Linked DNA regions of Neurospora crassa OR74A. The protein of the gene in region 1 binds, or shares a complex with, the protein of each later gene. Links are inferred from orthologs where the notes say so. Each region holds a gene or a part of one and is shown on either strand. Other genes may lie near its edges. The genes, in order: NCU09539 and NCU00564.

What was found.
Region 2: NCU09539 (region 1) and NCU00564 share a complex: the UniProt entries of both Schizosaccharomyces pombe proteins name them as parts of the mitochondrial small ribosomal subunit. The link is inferred for Neurospora crassa OR74A from reciprocal best matches to the Schizosaccharomyces pombe genes sws2 and mrp2.

What each region holds. Positions count from the first base shown.
Region 1 is NC_026505.1:4,521,775-4,532,765, reverse strand, and holds NCU09539 (putative mitochondrial 37S ribosomal protein SWS2), read left to right. Parts: upstream 1-5,019; 5' UTR 5,020-5,178; coding exon 5,179-5,181; intron 5,182-5,247; coding exon 5,248-5,292; intron 5,293-5,376; coding exon 5,377-5,688; 3' UTR 5,689-6,152; downstream 6,153-10,991. Other genes in the region: NCU09540 (hypothetical protein), read right to left, coding at 3,010-4,815; NCU09538 (microsomal dipeptidase), read right to left, coding at 6,185-7,116, 7,200-7,412, 7,463-7,706; NCU09537 (rho-GTPase-activating protein 8), read left to right, coding at 9,609-9,654, 9,723-9,904, 9,985-10,991. UniProt on the Schizosaccharomyces pombe protein: Component of the mitochondrial ribosome (mitoribosome), a dedicated translation machinery responsible for the synthesis of mitochondrial genome-encoded proteins, including at least some of the essential transmembrane subunits of the mitochondrial respiratory chain.
Region 2 is NC_026501.1:7,983,954-7,994,920, reverse strand, and holds NCU00564 (mitochondrial 37S ribosomal protein MRP2), read left to right. Parts: upstream 1-6,730; 5' UTR 6,731-6,935; coding exon 6,936-7,042; intron 7,043-7,123; coding exon 7,124-7,295; intron 7,296-7,413; coding exon 7,414-7,476; 3' UTR 7,477-7,832; downstream 7,833-10,967. Other genes in the region: NCU00561 (hypothetical protein), read right to left, coding at 1-406; NCU00562 (hypothetical protein), read left to right, coding at 1,545-3,281; NCU00563 (hypothetical protein), read right to left, coding at 3,862-4,347, 4,426-5,105, 5,176-5,291, 5,357-5,424; NCU00565 (lipoic acid synthetase), read right to left, coding at 7,983-8,278, 8,340-9,336. UniProt on the Schizosaccharomyces pombe protein: Component of the mitochondrial ribosome (mitoribosome), a dedicated translation machinery responsible for the synthesis of mitochondrial genome-encoded proteins, including at least some of the essential transmembrane subunits of the mitochondrial respiratory chain.

The DNA.
Region 1 (10,991 bases):
TATTTCCTGCGATGATTCTTCCCCTTTGGAAATAAAATAAAATAAAACAAAGATCAAATGAATGGCGTCGAAGGAGTGATGAGAAATGAGGTGATCAAGGTGTGACCTTGTGACGTCTCGAAAAAGAGGAGTTGAGCTTTAAACAGTTTTTGGAGTAACACCTGGGTAAGGCGAAAGTGAGGTGCGTTTTGAGGGGTCCACTGGATCGTTTGGGTAGGTGACTGTTCCGGACTCCCGATCTATTCCGTACAATCAAAGCGGAGTCCGTCGAACGTCACGTCACAAAATGTCAGTTCTTGGGTTGTCGATCTGAAAGATAGGAGATAGATAGGTGGATCAGCAAGTAGCTATGTGAAACAAAGTAGGCTCGGTCGGACTGATAGAGACGCGAGTCCAGTCACCGAGGACGCGAGATGGAAAGGGAACTCTATGGGTAGGTGGGGGAGTATCGTCAAAGTATACAAGATAGGAGATTGTGGAAGTGGAAAGGATGGATGAGTCAACGAAGAGAGCAAGGACCAGAAGGGCCAGGATACATGGAGCTATTAAAGAAATTTGGGATGGATAAGCGAAGGTTCAGAAAAACAAAAGAGGGAAAAAAGACATGGGGATATCGAAAACAAGTGGAAGTTCGTTCGTCAAAGTGATGAATGTAAGAGGAGTGAGCGCTTCTCCAGTTCACACTTCCTTCTTCAGTTCTCCATCTGCTGAGTACAGTATCTACTTGCTCTCTTTGTGACATTGTAAAGCTTGGCGGGACAGAGGATGAAGGGGACCCGACCCGAGATCGGGGGGAAGCGTCTGGGTCCGGGAGAAGAACTGATAAGGTAGAGGTACCTTACCTGCCCGTGATTGTGCTATAACCTAAGCCGGGGCCCTGGCCATCGTGTTGGAGAACCTCTTTCGAACCCCACGGTGGTAGAACCTAAAGACGAAGTCCGCCGGCATATAGTACTGATGCCTGCATGCGATGCAGTATTTAGTGCTATGGCGATCGATGCAAGTCCTCGATTCAAATATTTGGATAGATCACCAGGCTGCATACCCAGGGGTTGACGATAGGTGTAGTGTACCTCTATGTTAGTGTACGCATGGAGTAGAACCTTAGGTCCAGTGCAGGTGGTGGGGTAGGCGATGTGAAGAACAACAGTCCGGACACGCTTCCGTTATAGGTATCGAACCAGACCCAGTAAGGGTCCGAGAGCTTTCTATCACATGAGATCGCCTGTGGGGGTATCTATCGGTCGGTCAGGCGCCTTGCATAGGTAGCTACGTATGTGTGATAGAACTCGACAAAACATAAAAAGAAAATGTCAGAAGAAAAAAAAGGAGTGGAGGAAACCCGGTGAACAATGTCTTTCTAGTGTATCAGAACCAGGGGGGGCAGGTGTCTTCGGCACATCACTTCAAGTTATCCACCTCCATGCTCGCGCACCTGCAGGTAACCGCGGGCGCTTGTCATGTCAAGCACCTCGGGTGCATCTAGCGTTCTCGAAATACTGCAACCGATTCCCATCATCTCTGTCTCACTTTGCCTTCTTGATGATGGATGTTGATTCCAGCGTACAGATTGCGGTCTTTGCCGGACTGCACTAAGATTCAAGATCACTCCGATTCGAATCATTGCCAAGCACATCATGAGTGGAAGATGTCGTTAGGAGAGGTGTCTACTTCTTTCTGTTTTGCATCTCCAGCTCCACCACTCTGGGCAAACGCCAGTAAGACAGATGGGTTACAACGCATACCTCCCAATGTACCTACAATGCCGGCACTAAGCAATGTAGTGTACTATACATGTAAAGCAAAGTCAAAGGACGAAACGCAGGTACCTCACCTCTGCTTGCGCCCTCGAGGTTGCCTGCCTGTCAGCCATGGGTTCTTTCACAGCCTTTCAGTTTCACCTCATTGCTGGTGACCTGGCGCCACCGCAACAACAATTAACTCTCGCAAAAGAGTTATTGGTTCTTCTCTTTGGGCAGCAGAAAGTGTGGGGGAAGCCTCTCTTGTGGAGTGGCGCAAAAAAAGACAGATCAAATCCCGAGAAGTGAACCCCCCCTCTCCTTCTTTCCCCTCTATTCCTTTCTAGTAGTCAGCCTGGATTGGATCACTATAGCCAGGAGGAAGCACATGTCGACCATCTTCGGAAACAGCCAACTTCTCGAGCCTTCGCCAGCCTTCACCTGATAGTATCCCTTCCAGTTACACACCGGTCATGTCGAGAAAACGCGGCACGTCAGAAGCCACACCGAGAACTTGAACTTGCCTTTGTACAACAAGAGACAAGAGATAACGCAGAAAAGAACGCCTCTGTTTCAAAGCTTTGTTCGTTCCCGCATGATTGGTCAAAAAGGTTCAATTGTATGTTCCGGTTTGATCTGCTTCTGCTTGACAGGTCGCGGTACCCGAGCTTGTGCCACCTGGAAGAGAAGGTTTAGACACCGATCATCGGACCGAGTTCTGGCTTTCACTTTGTCTGGTGACAGCGTCTGTCCGGAAGCAAATTATCAAACACCATGCAAGTGACTAGGGGATCCGGCATACCAAAGACCATGCTTGATGATCATCGGAATGTCGAGTCTTCTTATTCGGCTCAACATGCAACGGCAAACTGCAAGAAGGCTAAGAGCTCTCCGATCTAGGGGTAATGCTGCTGCAGCGTGGGACAGATCGCTTCAACCTATTGCGACATGCTGAATGGCAGTTCCCCATCGAAGAAGGATGCGACCATTAGCCGAACCGAAGGCGTGCAGAAATTCGGAACGACAGTCCTGCAACTCTCTCCATTTGCGGAATAAAACCCCCGGGATAGGTAGACATAGGGTATAACCTGGACGGACACAAAAATAGATATATCAGGTCAACAAGTCAAATGTCTTACAACATCCCGCACAACCCCAGGGGTACAATATCCGAGAGATTGCTGTATAGGTAGGTATGCGTGAAAGACAAAGGTGGCTGGGGAAGAGGAGACAACTCATCCGACATCGTTTTATTTTCCTACACGTCTTCTTATTTCTTGATACCCACAACGACGAGATTTCGAGGGCTCTGGCCATAGTCAAATACTGTCTCCACCCAGCAGTCGCGAACAATATCGGAATGTTCCTTGAGGAACAGGTACCGGTCAGTCACGATAAGGGACTCAACAACGCACGCGCTAAAGGCCATCAGGCTCCAGACTGCGCTGAGCTCCCGCTTTCGGGGCAGGTACGCGGCCTCGTACTTGGCAATCTCCTCGTCGGTGATGTCACTTAGCTTCTCGCGTACAATCTGGCTGTACTGGCTAAAGTCCGAGTTGGTCGTTAGCTTCGTGATCGCTCCGCGGACGTAGGCGCTGAACGAGGTGTAGCATTGCTTCCTGAGTGAGCCGATCACGACGGGGTTGGTGCTGAAGTTGAACGGGCTCTCGTTGCCATCCTCGCCCTCGCCCTCGCCCTCGCTTGGCCCGTGGTAGACCTTGGAAATGACCCCCTTGTCGAGGAATATCCTTTGCAAGACGGCGCGGTAAAAGTGGCGGGTGAAGAAGGCATCGCTCTCCTTGTCGGTCCAGTTCCCGGGTGCTTGGCACGCCATCATACGCGCTGTAATGTTGAGTCGGATGCCTTGGTCATTGTAGGTGGAGAGTTTCTCACTCATGGGGAAACCCTGGGGATCTCGTCTCTCGGACTCCCTAACAACACGAGCATTCAATGGCTGAAGGGTTGGCCGACTGAAGCAAGGCTTGAAAGTCGGAGGACCCAGTTTTTCGGTGAGAAGGTTGTAGCAGCAACCCACGATTGCAACGGCGTGGATAGACGAGTTGAGGACCATGGACCGGATGCCGTAGTGAGAGAGGTTGCCACATGAGTGGATGGACACAGCCATCATGCTGAGATCATCCTCGCTGTGAGTTTCCGTGTACTCCAGCTGGGAGATCACAGGGGCCAAGTCGGCATCTCCCAACTTGGCAACGACGTACTCAATGCTGCCCTTTCCTTCCTCCCGCGCATAAGTGGCCTGAAGCTCCTTTCTCGATCGGAGATCAATGGTAGCAATATCTTCGTCTGTCACACCCAGTGCCTTTGCGGCGCGCTTCAGTGCCTCTTCATCGTTGGCTTCTGACGGATCTACACTTTCCATAATGCGGTGGTAGAGCTTCTTGTTGCGGATTCTCTTCTCCCGCTCAGCTAGACCGGACAAGATATCGAGATCCTTAGCGCCTGCTGTGTTGGCCTCCTTGCTCTCCACGGCAACAATATGCTTGTTGTACGGAGGACTCGCCAGAGCGCGGCCTAGATAATTCTGGCCACTGCCAAAGTCTACCAAGTGCGTCAGTTCCTGTCCCCTCACCCGAGCGACGTCCTCCGAGAGCCTGTCGATGTATCCGGAAAAGTGAGTGACTTCGTGAACTTTCTTGGTGTTCATTCCCAAAGCTACCTGCCGAGGAAGCACCGGTAGTTTTGGCTTGCTGGGCTGGAAGGAGCGTCGTAAAGAAAGTTTCCTGATATCCTTGACATATTGAACCAGCGTCTCGGGAGGCTGTCCCGGGCCAGTTTGCGCGGCAAGTGTGTCAAGATCATCTCTCATCAAGAAATCCAAAAGGACCATGGGCTCGGTCTGCACCAGGTACTCCTGCCATTCCTTGGGAACGGCAGAGACAAATAGGCCGGGCTCGCTGGTGAAGAAGTCAAGAATGTGGACACCACCACAGAGAAACTGGAAAAGGTGGGAATTGGTCGCAAAGTCCAGCAGACTGTCGACATATTGGTCTGCAGATGAAAAATCATCCGAGTATGGAAGAGGCTTTTCTGGCCTCGCAGTAAAGTCGATCGTCATGATGTGTATGGTGAGTGGTTGTTCATCTGCATTTTTGGCACATCGCCATGAAATTTTGGCTTTCTTTTCGCAAGACTCATACGGTAAAGTGTATGCATGAGGTACAATCGCATGTGTATAACCTTTATGGCGACAGCTGGCGGAGCATGGGATGCCAGCTGTCCCGCACCCCAAATGCTCCGCTGCGGATTTGCACCGGCCAATGCGGGCTCCCCCACGATCCGCCGCCTGCCCGGCAAGTCTGCACGCCCGGTTCCAAATCGCGGGTTGCGGGTTGCTGAGAGCTGAGAGTCGAGACTCCTCCGCGATTCCTGAACCGAGTTATGCCCATTGCGACAAGGTGACTTATCGTCGGCTAACAAGATGGTACCTACAACGGCCTCTGCGATTTCCGGGAATATTTGTCCAAAAGTTCTAACATTTTATTGCTAGGTGTTCATCCTGGGAGTCAACTTCAATGAGCACAAGCTCGTCCAGGTGCGCTCTCCTCCTCGTCCTCGTCCTCGTCCTCCTCTGCGCTCCAAGAATCACCCTGGTTAACCTTCCACTTGCGAACCACAGAAAGCTCTCGAGAGCTTCTACGGCCTAGGCCAGCAGGCCTCTGCCCGCATTCTCGCAAAGTATTCGATCCACCCGCGCGCGAAGATGGGCACCCTCCCGCCCAAGATCGTCACTGCCCTGACGGCCGAACTGTCGACCATGACAATCGAGAACGACGCCAGGAGGCTGGTGCTGGACAACATCAAGCGCCTCCGTGATATGGGTACCTACCGCGGTCGTCGCCATGCCATGGGTCTGCCCGTGCGCGGTCAGCAGACGAGGAACCAGATCGCCAACGCCAGGAAGCTCAACAAGATCGAGCGCCACGGTTGAGCGAGTCGATGACGGTAATGGTGACGGGAACCTTGGAGAATACCATGACGTCTGGATATTTCTGGAGCAATTCTGCTACGCGACATTTGCTTCGATAGCTGTCGGACCATGGGATCGAACGCATGGACAGAGAAGAAAGAGATGTGCCTGACGTGGCTCGGCTGGGTGTTGTCGAGCTTTTAGAGCAGGCAGGCAGGCAAAATCAGTGTACGATACGTCAAGCCAGAACGAAGACACGCTGGGACGCAAAAGGAATCAGGCGCGGCGTTGTAGAGCAATTCATCGGATCAAGTCAAAACACGGGCAACTTTTTGCTTATTGACTCGAATCACGACAGACATTTATGATACCCAATTCCCGAGTCTATATGCTAGCCAGATCTTGTGTCTTTATATAAGCAGCTTGCCATCTGCAGGCTCATCTTGGAGCTATCTACGCTGCCACAAAACTTTGCGGAAACACGGTAATTTTCTCTACGTGCCGCCCATTCAGATGTCTACTCCTCGGGCATCAAGTTAGGCAGATCATCCTCCAGAGCCGACTCACCAGCAGCTTGCATCGTAGCCGCCACGAGCTCAACATCCCTCCACACGCGGAGTATGTTACCGCCCACGACCTTGCTCACATCCTCATCACTAACACCCCGTCGAAGCAGCTCGGCCACCAAGTCCGGGTAGCGCGAGACATCTTCCAGTCCCTTCGGGACGACTGGAATCCCATCAAAGTCACTACCCAGACCGACATGATCATATCCAATCAGCTCGCCAATATGAATGATATGGTCAGCCACATGCTCCAGAGTCGCATTGGCCGGGTAAAAATCCGGCAGCCCATCGTCCCTGTCCGGCGCCGCCACGCACGAGATAAAGTCGGGTGAGAAGTTGACCATAACCAGCGAGTTGCGCTCCTTGACCAGACGAAGGACGTCATCCGGCACGTTGCGCGGGTGGGGGCACAGCGCGTAGGCGCTCGAGTGGCTGAAGATGACAGGGGCCCTGCTGCCATTCCAGTCCTTGCCCGAGCCACCCAAAACATCCTTCATCGTGTCGACGCTGGTGTGGGCCAGATCCACGATCATGCCGATGCGGTTCATCTCGTTGACTAGGGCTTCGCCGGCCGGGCTGACGCCGCCCCAGTGGGACGGGGCCTTGCGGAATGGGTTCTCCTGCAGGGCGGCGTCGGCGTACTTGTTGCCGCAGTTGTGGACCAAGGTCGCGTAGCGGACGCCCAGGGCGTGGTAGCGCCGCAGCGTGGCGGCCGAGTTGCCGATCTGGTGCAGGCCCTCGATGCCCATGGGCGAGATGAGCTGGTTGTGGTGCTTCCAGGCCTTGTAGGCGGCTTTGCTGGAGACTGCCGGCCCGAGGTCCTTGGGATAGGCGGCTTTGAGGCGGTCGACTAGGTCGATCTGTTGGAGGGTAGCCTGGACGGCTGTGTGGTTGGAAAGGGATAATGTCAGACTCTTTTTCTCTTGACGTGCTATGCAGTAAGGCTGCGTGAAAGGTTGAACCCACCGGGCAGATAGTTTTCATCAGAAAAGTCGGAGCCGTTGGCAGGGCAAGGCCAGAACAAGCTCCAGAAGGCCCCTCCGTTCATACCAGCTCTCAGGCGTGCAAGGTCGACATGACCGGGGAGCGTGCCGTCTTCCCAGCCGGTGGTAAAGTTCTTGTCATTGATGTGGTTCTTGAAAGCGGCTCGCAGCAGGATTGGCAAATCATTGTGTCCATCTATACTCTATGTCAGTATTTGGTGAATAATTATTGATTTGTGGTCGTACCGATCAATGGAGTGTGTGACAGGATACGCTTCACGCGTTTTTCAATGCTCTTCTCCCTCGGGTAGCTGGGCAGGCAACCCGACATGCCATAGCTGGCGGGTCGGACGAGAAGGTGAAGCAATAAAAGAGAGATGATCACGGCGGCCCAGAACTTGCGGCCGAATCCTCGCCGTTGACGGCGCGTGTTGGGGGCGGATAAACGCTCAACATCATCCCCGACATCGCGGGTCTTTTCTTCCTTCATCTTCTCAGGGACGACTGTTTCACCAACGTTATGGCCGAAAAAGCGATGAATGAGGGAAAAGGGAAAAGAGATGCGTAAGTAGAAACAGGGGAGCGTGTTTACGGTGTTGTCGTTGAAGGATTAGAAATCGCCTAAAGCTTAGCGGGGTTACTTCATCTTAGTTGATAGTCCGCGGCGTTGTCATGTCATTGATGATGCGACCTGGAAATGCATACACTTCTTGAGTTAGATGCAAAAGAAGCGTGTATACTTAGTGTAGACCTACCGGTGCGTCTCAAGCGACTACATCTAGAATCCGAGTCAAGGCACGAATAGGTAATGTCGAAAGGAGTCATGAACAGTTACTCCAACTGAGATCTACACGTCTACTGAGTGGTTCGTAGAGTGGGTATCTTGGCGTATATGTATAAAGTGCAGCATCCATAACTGACGGGACCACAGCCTTTGGGCCGTGCCAGTTCCTTCATCTCCCATCAAAGTACATGACGAGCCCGAAGCACAATACTACTCAAATGTTCATATTCTGTTGTATCTCATCGGCGACCTTAACTCTGCTGGCGGCGAAGCTGCCCGATGGTGATGCTTTGCTACACTTTGTGGTCTGGACATCCAACGAGAGAGCGGTCTTGGCATGGACATCCGAGGAGGGACAGTGGGGTTCACAGCCCAAGTCTCAGTCATTCAGTTCAGCACTAATCCGCAGACCATTCACCTTCAAGTAGTGTAGAAGTGTAAAACTACGTTTCCAGAAAGAAACAGACACGGGAACTTGAGTTTGATAGGCTCCATCCCGTCTCAAGACCCCTCGACCCCTACACGAGGAGGTTGAGGTTACCTATTTTAGGGCGTACTTGTACCTCACGTGTGGATCCTTCTGACGCTGCCCCTCCTCCAATGAAACTTGGAACTGAATGAGTGAGACTTGGCTGCCCGATGACAGCCAACCCACCATGACACTTCTCGGTGGACACCGTCCCTGCACCTCCACCACTTCCACTCGGCCTGCCCGTACCTACCTTACCAGACTTACCTACCTGCAAGCGCACCACATCCTGCCGTCCACCTCTTCTAGTGTAGGTAAAGGAAGTGCACCCATCTGCGTGCTGTACTTGAAGAAGTTTGAGTGTGTGTTGCCCCTGTTTCACGAATGCCCGTTCGTCCCTTGTGCTCACTGACTGCTATTTCTGACTGCGACATCGACAACGACTGGACTTTTGCCTTGTGTCTTTCCAATTTGGCTGCCGGTGCTTCTCCTTCCCCTCCCCTGAAGCCCCCCCCCCAGCGTTTCTTCAACTTCACTTCTTTTTACTTTGACACTTTAGCAGGCCACTGCATTTTGCTCTTGTTGTTCCTTCCTAGTTCCGTCGGCGATCACCGCCAACTTCATGCTCATCACCCAGGTACCTAGTCGACTATCCAGGTAGTGATTTGGTCCCATATCCGGATAGTTGGATCCCACGACAAGGAGACCGGCATTGAGCTCCGTTGAAAGAGACCCCCGCTGCTATCACGGTGCCTGCGTCGTCTCCATCCCCAGGCCACTCGGCGGCGCTGCGCCCCCCCTTTAATCCCAGACCCGCCAGACTTACCCACCTTCCCGCCGCCTAGTTCAACTGGCTCTTCGAGAAACGACACTGACGGGATCAACCACCCCGGACCCCGACTTGGACTACCCTGACGGATCGTATACCGTATTCACCGGCCTCTCCTCAATCAGACCTAGGCGAGGATTATCAGCTGGGATCCTGCTTGCCTCAGCCTCACTCCAGCGTCGCGCGCCGACCAAAAACTCTCGCTGCCCCTGCTGCCACAAGTTTTCCCACAGTTAATTCATCCCAAACATCATCGTCTCTGCTACATACCACCGACTCATCCTATCGAGCGATAGCCCTCCTTACCACAATGCCGGGCTTCGCGGACTCCTTCTGGTCCAACGACTACGCCGCAGGTAAGTAGTTTGGCTGTCGCCAGTAGATCCGCTGTCGTTGTCGGCCGTGCTGACGCACACGTGCTCAGGCCTCGGGGTCCTGTTTGGCAAGCTCCAGCAAGGCGTGGTCGAAAACCGCCAACTCCTGACCATCGCTCGCATGCGCGCCGAAGCCGAGGACGTGTATGGTCAGCGTCTATCCGAAATCGCCCCTGCCGTTGACAAGATCCCGAACGGCTTCAACCGCGACGATGGCGCAAGTGTGCGCAAGGTACGAATCACATGCCAGCAAAGCCAGACCAGGCTTCATCTTGGCCGAGACAGCGTTGACTGACTTGTCTCCCCCGCCAGGCTTATGAGGGTGTGCGGACCGAGATGGAAGACGCCTCCAAGAACCACAAGAAAATTGCGCAAAACATCCGAGATCTAGTTGTGAACCCCTTTACGCGCTGGTGCGACGCCCACGAATCTCGGCTACAAAATTCGCAGGAAGAGCTCCAGGCAAAGATCAAGGCCCACGACAAACAAGCCGAACTCGTCAAGAAGCTGCGCAGCAACTATTTCAACAAGTGCCGCCTGGTAGAGGATCTCGAAGAAGAAAACAAGTTGGCCTTCCAAGACCCCGAATCGGCAGCGAGCCCGAAACCCAAGCAGCCAATTCCCGAAATCAAGGTTGAGCCCGAGGAGGAGGAAGATGACGAGCCGTACGAGATTGGCGATGAGACCTATTCGCCTGACCAGATCAAGAAGATCCTCGCCCACATGCTCAACAACATCAAGATGGGCGAGACCAAGGTCCCGATCCTGGGAACGTACCAGAACACATCGGCTGGTACGGATATTGTCGAATACTTGCAGCGGCATATGGGCACTACGAGCATCAGTTATGCTGAGAGAATCGGCCAGGATCTCATCACCCACGGCTTCCTGCGTCTGATCGGTAATGTCGGAAACACTTTCGCCAACAGTTCCAGGATGTCCTACCAATGGCGCCCTCAGGCGTTCAAGCTGGCTGGTGTTCCGGAAAAGAAGGCTCCCGTTGGCCGAACATTCTCGATGCCCCTATCCAACGGATCCGAAGGGAACGACTCGCCAGTTGTCGGTGTCGTGAGCGAGTACCTTGCCAACTGGAACATCCCCGGTGTCAACAATGGACGCCCCAACGAGACTCCGTCTGAGCGCATGCGCCGTGAGGCCAGAGAAGCTGATGAGAAGTACAAGGCTGCCGTCCAGAAGCTGGATGAGATGCGGTGTGAGCTGGAGGAGGCCATCTTTCTGCACCTCAAGTTCCTCGAGCGTTGCGAGCTTGACAGGCTCAAGGCTATCAAGACCGTGGTGTTGGACTTTTCTGGTACCAT
Region 2 (10,967 bases), on another chromosome or scaffold:
GTCTGATAGCCGGAATAGTGCCAACGTCCAAAGTGACCGTTTGTCCTGGGCGAGCAATCTTTTGAAGGTACAATAACGTGGCAGCATTGTTGATGCGGAAGGTCGCCGGCGCCAAACTCTTAGTTTCTTCGCTGCCATTTCCTCTAGTTATACTAGGCCTGGGCTCCGTCCCAGACCCGGCATCGATAACGGCGGTAGCGCTGGATGCGGACCACTTGGCGAGTTCATCGGCAGCTTGCTGGTAGTGTAGACCCGGAGCAAGGAGCAGGCTGTCGAGCCAGCTGGAGCCGCCGGTGATGGCGGTGCGCTGGGCAACAGTGCTGAGGTCGGCGAGAGCTAGGAGACCGCCGGCGGAGAGCGATACGCCAGGGATGGGGTAGGTGGTCCACTGTGGGAAGGAAACCATGGCCGTGTACGGATCCGGAGATGCTGAGGTTTGGATCGGGGATCCCGGCTTCTGATCGTTTACTCCACCAACCTTGTCTCCGCTGTTGGTTTTAGGGCTGAAGGTTGTCGTTGTTATGGTCGTAGGCTTTGAACCCAGAACAGCTGAATCTGAAGTCGACGAGAGAGGCTCCAGAACGACTCAAAATCAATGGGCTTCTCGTTCTTTTAGGCTCTCAACTGAAGTGACTTGGAATTGAGCAGTCACTCCATCAATCGAAGGAAGCCGCGACGGGAGACACCCGCCTTTACGACTGTGATAAAATACTAGCTGTACGCAGGTGAACAGGCGATATAAAACAATACATACCGCCCCAATTGTGATACTTCACCATACATGAGAGGGCGAGCCCATGACGCCAGACTGCCTAGCAAGCCCTGCCAAGGCAGCCTATAATCTGATGATAGGTATCTTGGAGGCTTCGTTGGATGTTGTTTCCCTCTCTGGTTCTAGCTGAATGCCCACCCTTGTTTCTTGGGCATGACCCCACATGATAGGATAGATGGCTTCTAGTGTAACGGTATGAGCACCCGTGGGCGTTTTCTAATAAGTCCGAGAAGAAGGTTGTAGATCGCGAAGCTCACATTGTCAGCGAGTCTTGTGATGAAGCGAACCATCCACACCCTCTTGCCAGTTGACCGAAAAGAAAGAAAGAAGTGGAAAGATGGAGCCGATCCGACTAGAGTGGAACCCGAGATCACGGTGGGCCCAAGCTCCAAGTGAAGCTGCGCTGCCTGATTGACGACATCATTCGTCCAGCACCTGTGTACCATGCGGGGGAGGCCCCACTGAACAGCTGAAGGGGCCGGGGATCGCAGGCTCGCTCAGGAAACGACCAACGACGGAACGGACAAGAATTGTCACTCTGCATTTTGGTCTTGAAACAACATAGTAAATAACAAAACAAAAGGCCTGAGCAAAGTCGATTGACGGCATCATCTCAGCGCCAAACCACGCCAATACAGGCAAGATGCATTGATGTGAACAGACCACGAGATCTCACAGTAGGACACCTCAATTGTTGCCCTTGAGGTTGCAACTTCTGAACCTAACCCCCTTCTCCGCCTCTCCTCCTGAGCTCTCGAGCTTTCGTCTCGCAATGCGCCCGCGACTCCTTCTCCCTCGCGGGGACTTGGCCCGGCCATGCTCCCCGGCGATACACTCGACGACCACCCGATTCTTTACACAGAGCGCATCACTTCGCGTGGGAGTTCAAACAAGACCCCAACTCGGCTTCCTCAATGTGCCCGTGACCACTCAACAATATCGCTACCTGACGACCGAGCGCAAGGCGCGACTCAAGTACGACATCAAGCAGGGAATCAAGATCACTTCATACTTCTGGATGGCCGGCGCTTGCTGCTTCGCCATAGCATTCGCCCTTGTCCAGGAAACTCTCGAAGCCCGATATCCATCACCACACGAATGGAGCATGCTGAGTCGGATTTTCTTCCGCGGAGCCTTCTGCGAGCGAGACCAGACCGACCCGTCCCGCACAACCGACTGGGTTCATGTGACAAATTGGATCAAGAGCGTGGTAGACCGGTTGGAGGATCCCAACATTGACGGCAAGGGACTGAAGGATGCGCCGTCCGACAGGCCAAAAGGCACCAAGGACATCAGCTCCATGTCGGAGAACTGGAGACGGGGCTACTACGAAGCCATGATGTTGTACGCAAAGGCCGCAGAGAACGTCGAGAAGTGGGTAACCGACAAAACCCAAAACCTCACCATCCCGAACGACTACGTGATCGGTCCCTCCAACCCCAACCCGCGCCCCCTCCCCAACGAGAACTACCGACCGCCCAAAGAGGACGATTGCGTGCCGACCTTCGAGTCGCCCAACGAGATCTACATGCGCATCCTCTGCACCGAAGGTCTCACCAACCGACAGCGCATGGAAGCCGGCCTCGCCTACGCCACCTGGCTTGAATTCAAGCAGATCACGGGACCCGCCAACATCATCCTCGAAGACGCCGTCCACCTCGCCGCCAGCGAGCAAGCTCTCCTCACCGGCGGCCATTACCCCCTGGACACCAAAAGTTACACCCTCATCGACGCCGCCGGCCACCATCCCTCGTCCAACCTCCTGCAATCCATCACTGCGCTCGCCACCTTCCGCGCCCGCAACGGCGACGTCTCCTCCGCGCTTCCCATGCTCGTCTCCATCCTCCAAGCGCGCAAGGCCCTTCCAACTTCCGACCCGCGCCGCATCCCACCCCTTCCACAAAAGAAACAAACCTGGGCCGGCGCCGTTCTAGCCCTCCTCAAGGAACCTCCTTACCCCGACCCGCCTGAGGATGGCACCTTCCCCCCTTTGCGCGATGCCAAGGAACGATGTGAGGAGGCCGCGCTGAGTCTGCATATCGGGGAGATCATGTACACTGCCAAGCCTACCACCAACAACAGCAACAACAACACTTCAGCCACAACTGCTCATTCCCACCGCGAAGAAGGTCTAGGCTGGACTCGCGAAGCAGTCGACATCGCCGAAGAACAACTCCGTGGTCTAAGCAACAAGCAGTCTGCCATGGCCGCCAGACTTACATGCCGCGAGTGTCTGGCTGCAGGTTTAGAGAACTGGACGATGATGGTTTCGAGGCTGGCGAGGGACGAGAAAGCCAAGAAAGAGGAGCTGGAAAGGAATCCGGACCTCGACAAGCAAAACAAAACGAGTTGGTGGAGCTTCTGGGGACAGGGCGAACACAAGCAGGAGGATTTGAATAGGTGGGCGGCGGAGGAGAAGGTTATTGCCGAGAGACAGAGGAGGGCGGCAGATTTGTTGGAGGAGTTGGCAACGGGGAACAGGGGGTTTTTGTCATTTTTGCAGGCTTAGATCCCTGGATGGCTGGGATGGATGGATGGATTATGGTGCGGCCGCGAAGCAGCCTACCACTCACTCGGTCCACCAGCTCGTTGATCAGAGAGTGTGACCGGGACTGTATCTTGAAATGCATTAGTGAGAAGGAGCACAGGACAAATGGGCATAGAGCAGCTACTCGCTTGTTAGTGTTGTAGTATGTATGATTGTATGTTCGGTAGTTTGCTTCAAGCATTGTACGTATAACGGAAGCTTAGTACTTTGAGGGCAAGGCAGGATACAGCACTCCTTGCCCAAATTCACAATTGTTGGACAAACTCATCGCAAGGAGACTATGTGAGTTCGGCTATCTATCGATTCGAAACTCCTGAAAATTGGCCTATCTCTGAGTAATTGGCAGATGATCTTGATTCAGCCACTGCCCTTTGATGCCAGAAATATGGTGATGTTTTGAGAGGGCCACAATCACGTTTCCCCTTCTAAATGGGTGTAGCAACCCCGTCCTACTCATCCTTGTAGCCAGGAAGATTTTTACTCGACCCCTTGACTGATCTTTCTGCAAGGAACCACCAGTCTTGGGTTTCCAGAAGGTGTCTTAGGTCTCCTCCTCTGAGCCGGCATTGCCATCCGCCATCTTTTCTCTCTTGGCAATTTCCTTGACGAACTCCTCGTCGATACCCTCGCATTCATCCATCTTGGGAGGCTGGGCGTCTCTCTGGACTCTGACTTGGATCCTCTTGGTCTCTTCATGGTCTTGTTCCTCGATTCTCTTGGACCCCTTAGACTCATCGTTGTCGTCCTTATCCCATCCTGGCCATTTACCGTCATCCTCCTCTTCCTCAGGGAAGAAGATGTGAACTCTCTCATTAACGTAATCCTTGTCCAGGGCGACATCCTGCAGCCACTTCAAGACCGCTGAGCCGGCTTCTACGAGCACAAGCTCCATGACAAAGGCGTCCGGGCCGACACTGTAGGTAGGGCAACCGTAGCCGACGTAGCCGGTGACGGCGCGGCTACCGCCCTCAGGGCCAGCGATAAGGGTATCGAGGGGATCTTGATTCATGATGTAGGCACGCCCACGCTGTGTGAAAATTGCTTCGTTAGCTGGGTCATTTAAACTGGGTCAAAGGCCCAGCGAGAAGGAGAAGGCGCAACATACCTGATCCATGAACTTCTTGAAGCCCGGGCATTTTGCCTCACGCATATCGTAAAAGCCACCCAGCACAACAAGAGCGTTCAGCCTATGTCCGATCTTCGCCCAAACATCGTCATTGTCGAGATACTGCTCCACCTCGTCCGACATGTCACCAAGCGCGATGACATCGATCTTGGCCTTATCGTTGACGAACTGCGGCACCACCTTCTCAAAGATATACTTGAGGTGCTCCGTCGGATTGGCATTCTCCGAAATGCTGTTCCTCGCCGGATCGTGGTGCCAGCCCCAGTGAACCAGACTGCTACCCGGAATCTGATGACGAGCAAATTCACTCAGCCCTTTCTTCCCTTCAGGCCACCACCAGAGGTCACCGGGGTTGGCGAGAATGATACCAGGGGCAGCGTCGTCGGTGGCGGAAGACTTCTGCTGCTTGAGAGCCTTGACTATGTTCACCATCGAGCCCTTGTTGAGACCACCCTGTCCGCTAGCGACACGGTGTGCCAGAATGCCAAAGTCCTGGCAAGACTGGCCGAAGATGATCACGACGCGTGACTTGCTAGAGAGATCCTCGCTGAGACGGATCTTGGCGTGAGGTTCATCTTTGCTGGCAACCCCGAGCGGGAGGAGGACTTCCTTTAGACCCTCGGCTTCCAGCCGTGAGTCGATGATTTGGTTGACTGCCTCTGTTAGATTGCAACATTTGGGTCAGTATCAGCTCAAACTATTGTAAGAAATAGGGAGTTTGTTACATACGGTCGAATGCGAAGCGCTGGCAGTCGTTGTACCTCGTGTTCTTGGTCGAGAAATACTTGAAGTAGAAGTCGGGGTCATGCACGTAGCGAACTTCATCTTCCTCGTTGATGAAATAACTATACGCACAAGATATATCAGAGTGAGTGTCGTGGGAAGGATGACTAGGCAGATTATCACGAACCTGAGCTTCTTGAGATCTGGGGCGAACTTTGGTTCAGCCGGAAGGCCTGACCAACGGCGACGAAACATCTTGTATGTTGGAAAGTCGTCGAGTTTCCTGGGTGCGTTGTTGTGGAGGAGTCAAAAGACGGTTGCAAGCGAGAGGAAGGATAGCCTAGAACGCTGATCGCGTCGAGGAGTATTTAAACACTTCGTTGCTTGGAGGATCGCGAAGAAACTCGAAGGCCACGGAAGCGGTTGAAGATGGGACGGAAGGAGCCCAGCAGTTGTTCTTCCCTTCTCAGGCACAGAACGAGATAGGCGAAGTCGGAGTACGGAATGGGATGATACTAACGAGCGAACATGAGAAGGTAAACAGACAACGAACGAGACACTCGACTCCCTCTCCTCAGATGAATGGCCAAACCGCGATGACATTGCAACCGTCAAGGTGTTGACATACTGTAGGGTCTCTTGCCCATCTCATCCAGACCTTCCCCATCCCATCATAGAGATAACTTGCTTGACAAACAATTTTCATAGGAAACAGTCGCACACAAACCGAAAGCCGCTTCAACATGCAGGTGTTTCTTTTGGCAGGCTCAAGGTTGCTGCAAACGAGAGCAATCATCCGTAGACTGATAGAACGTATACTGCTAAACACCAGCGATCATCAAAGGCATTGGTAAAGGGTGCGTCGAACGTACGAAAGTGGTGGTGGATGTGGTTGTCACATGCGAACGGCAGGCATCAACCTTTGCAACCCGTGAACAACGTATTCGGTAAGGTACGGGTGAACTTAACACACTCGTTTCGCATACGACAACTACATCTTTGGTAGGTAGAATGATTCGAAAGGCACCACTCAGTCAACCCATCCAAAACAATCCTTCTTCCTCACACCCCCAGCCTGTAGCCAGAGATTGCAACGAAAAAGTGAAGATGAGCACAAAGCAAGTAGTAGTGTTGAGTTCGCGTCGCCTGGAGGCAGTGTAATACCAGGGACACAGTGGTCGGCAACCATAGGCAAGCCCAGAGGGATGCCGACCGAGTTGCAAAAATTAGAATAATCACGATTCTACTCCGTAGAGCAGTTTCAGAGATTAAACTGAAAAGAACAGATACTACACTTGATCTAAGCCAAAAGGCAAAGAGAGCTAAAGAAAAAAAGAAGAAAAAACCAGGTAAAAATTTGGGAGGGGGGGCCAGTCTTAAATAGGCCCAGATGTGGCCTGTGCACGAGCTGCAAGCTTGAGAGTTTGAGTGGAGCCCCGTAGAAAAAGTGCCGTCCAGCTGGTGTGCGACTGGCACACCTGGCAAAGTGTTTGTTGCTGCTTGGTTTGGCGCTTGCAACCTGCGATGAAAATGACACCGCCCGGCAGAATTTGTCGTTCCGCACGCGGCAGGGCTGGACGGCAAGCGCACAGGCCACTGGCCGCCGTGGGAGCCGGGGAGAGTGACTGCGGCTAGCGGGCGACGACGCCGGAGGGAAGCAACGACTGCAGTGCCTGTGACATCGATTTACGCGCCTCGATCCGCCGCTATCGACGCCCATCTCCGACTCAGCCCGCCAATCTGCCCCAGAACACCAAACCGCCAAAATGTCCATGTTTCGTGCCAAGAAGCTCGACCTCGGGTGCTTCACCAACGTCCGGGTCCTTCGTGACCACTCCAAGCGCAAGGCCTTTTTGGAGGCCGAGCCTGAGAGGTAACTACCTACGCCTTGCGATCCTTATTTGCGACTATAATAAGCACAAACGATCTGACGACTCCTTGCTTTATGATACAGACAAGCCCTGCGTTACGTTATTCGCAACACCACCCTCCCTGCCCGTACCAGGGCCGTCGCCCAGCTCCAGCTCACCCAGATGCATGCCTACACCAGGCCCACGCAGATCCGGAACCGCTGCATCCTTGGTGGAAAGAGTCGAGGTATCTTGAGGGACTTCAAGATGACAAGAGTATGTCGCTATCGATTGCTTCAAAGAAGGAGTGGTGTCCTAAGAGCTGAGCTCCGCATGGGAATGATGGAAACCTGCAAAGGCGCGCGACTTGCTAACACTGTTGGATCGCAAACAGTACAATTTCCGTATGAACGCCCTGATGGGTAACATTCCGGGTGTCAAGAAGGCCTCTTGGTAAAAGAGAGCATGGCTACAAGGAACCCAGAGGTTTGTTGTGGTTTGGAGATGGTGCCGGTACGCCCAGAGGCGAATAAACTCTGTTCAAAACCCAGATGGGCTCGGGCCATCGTGTTGGTAAGAAAGTATCACTGTACGCAGGGTTTTTGAGATACCCGTATAAGTAAGTGATCGCATGATGAGGAGTGCTTCAAAAGCTTTTCAGTGGGCAGAGGGAGTTTGTATGATGCATCCTTTTGGACATGGGAATCTCTCTCCCGATGCCCGCTGTGTAGAATTGTTGTTACAATATTATATTCAGACACGGCAAACGAATGAATGTCTTTTTCAAAGTAATCGAAAGAACCAATCTCCCCTAACGCCAAAACGCATGCAACCCCCAAGGTGCCTAATAACCGATCCGTCATCCGTCTGTTATTTTGCCCGCCACAGGATAGCTGTGAAAGCCTAGATCCCGATTATAAATGTTGAAACACGCTCCGCAAACCACATCTAGCATAAGCTGCCTCAAGAGGACTGGACGCTAGTCGCCTCCTCGGCGGCAACCGCCTGACCAAGAGCCTCAGAGACAACCTTCTCGCCAGAGCGCTTTCTCAAGACGTTCTCGATGAAAGCCTCGCCGGCCTTGTATGAAGAACGGACCAGAGGACCACTAGCGCAGTACAGGAAGCCCATGTCAAGCGCACGCTGCCTCCAGAGCTCAAACTCGTCGGGAGTGATGTACTTCTCGACCGCGAGATGTCTCTTGGTTGGGCGCATGTACTGTCCAAAGGTAACGACATCGACGTCGACCTTCCTCAATTCTACAAAGCAACATCATGGTCAGCATCCATCAAATGGGCAAGCGCAATTGGTATGACTTACCCCTCAAAGCCTCCCAGAGCTCCTCCTCAGTCTCACCCAGACCAAGCATGATGCTGGTCTTGGTGATAATGCCTTCCTTGCCCCGGACCTTCTTGACGTGTTCCAACACCTTCAAACTCTGGCGAAATGTGGCACGGCGATCACGCACGTAAGGCGTCAAGTTCTCAACAGTCTCAACGTTATGCGCATACACATCCAGTCCGCTCTCCGCCACAATCTTAACCATGTCCAAGTCACCAGCAAAGTCACCGGTCAAGGCCTCGACAAGCAGGGTCGGCTTCTTCTGCTTGATCCGGCGAATCGTCTCTGCAAAGTGTCGGGCACCACCATCGGCCAGATCGTCACGGTCGACACTCGTCAGCACAACATAACCGAGACCCCAGCGGGCCAAAGCCTCAGCGGTGTTCTCGGGCTCGTGAGGATCCAGCGGAGGCGGCTTGCGGCTTGTCTTGACGCTGCAGAAGCGGCAGCCACGTGTGCAGGTGTCGCCCATAAGCATGATGGTGGCCGTCGCGGCGGCCTTGTTAGAACCGCCCCAGCATTCGCCGATATTGGGACACCTAGCTTCCTCGCATACTGTGTGAAGATTGAGACCACGCAGGTCGGCCTTGATCTTGGCAAATTCGGGGTTCGCGCCAGCACTTGGGATGGGTGTCTTGAGCCATTCAGGCAAGCGGGTGATGGTACGCTTCTTGCCGGCGGGTCCGACTTCGGCTGTGCGCAGGGTGTAAGCTTCGCTGGGTGCGAGAGGAGCGGCTGACGATTGGTTTGCGATAAAGTCGTCGAGGGAAGCGAGAGTGGTGTCCTTAAAGTAGGTCGGGCGCGGCTTGGTTGCGGGCGCGGATGCGGATGCAGCTGATGATGACTCTTGCGATGTCGGCTGGCTGGATGGGCCAGAGGGGATGGTGGCGTATGACCGAGTCGACAGGGCGGCGGCGCGCGCAAGAGACCTCCGCAAAGGCGCCTGGAGACGCTGGATCGGGACCGGTGAAGCCATGATGTGTGATAAGTCTTGGTGTTGAGCTGGCCGGAACCCTACCAGTCGTGAACTGCTGCAAACAAGCCGGGGGATCTTGGGTGGCGGATGCGGATGATATGGATGACTACCGTTGGGGGAGCATGGGATGGAGACAAAAAGTTCGGCCCCCCGGTGCGCCGGCGCTTTTGGAGCCTTTGATGAATTTTAGTGGCCCACGCCGCCCATGTCCGGTTACGTAACGCCGATCATACCCGCCAGCTGCCGGGGCGCATTAGAGGCAGCTCTTGAACCGGCAAGACCGGGACCCCCATTCCTTGTGCTGCCGGCGATGACTCCATTTTGCGAACCCTTTTGGAGTCCAGCAGTTCACCCCATGTTGTTGCGCGTGGGAGTCTGGAAGCAGCCGACTGACTGACTTGCAGACAATCCTACCCGATCTGTTTCAACATTTTGCTACACCAAAGGTGGAACTGGGTGTTAGTGGCGAGGGTCCTGGAACGACATGAGCTTATATCTTTTTGTGCATTTCCATATATGTAAATCCCGTCGAATATGCATCTGCTGGTTGACGGCATTCGCTCCAACAGCCCCTCCAGGCCCTTCAGGTGGACCGGGGACCAGAGAGAAAGATGCCGTAACATCCGCATACCGTGGATGCTTTTGCCGGTGAGTCGGGCATCTTCGACGGTTGAGTATGAGGGGCCAGGTACGAGATATGTAGTGAGTGGTATTGTGAAGAATGTATAATGTAGATGGTCGATGAAACGAAGCTGCAACACAACCGACCCGACACAGGAGAACATGCCGTGCCAATGCGGTTAAGTGTAAGCTCTGCGCAGTCGGTGAAGTGTCGTAGTCAGGAGTACTCAGGGGAAAGACAGGCTCTTCACCGTGTCATCACCTCGCCAGCTTAAGCTTTACTTGTCTCTCGGGTAGATATGTACATACATAGATCTATAGACCTTGAGGCGGTAAAGTTAAGTCTTCGAGATCGTTCTTGTGCATGTTGGAAAATACCGGATCCGTGGCTACTGGCTAGTGCGTTTTCACGTGCGACTTTTCAGATGGACGAATGACCGATTTCTCACTGCACCTTGAACTTGGTCTGGTTCGTCATCAGAAGCTGCATAGCCACTGAGGGGTGAAGCTGAGGGGGGGACGCCCTGAGTGCTTGTTGGTGGGCACTCTCACAGTTACCTAGGTACAGTGCCTATTTCCATCCGTAAGCTGAACGAAGTGGAAGCTTCCTAGCGGGTTGAAAGAGAATGACCATCAAGACGACTCTAAACATAAGCACAAAACACAAAGCGATAGCTACCGACCCACATCGCCTTTTGCGTCTCAAAAGGACCGAAGCAGAACAAAGCGCAAAATCTTCGAACCTAGGCCAAGCCCCTGGTATGTGACTGAAAACAAGAGGTTCGCATGAGAAACATTTGTTGGCGTCAAGCCAGGCCGTGCCTGGGTTCCTGGTTGTTGTGGGGCTTCCTTGGAAGGGACAAAAGGGATTGTGGCTCGTGCTTGTGTACCTCAGATCTTAACAACAGCGCATGAGATTGAGCGTGAATACCATTAGTATCTCCCGTACCCTAGCCCTCTTCTCTGCTAGCGGCAACCCAATCACTTAGGTGAATTCAAGCCGCCCGGCT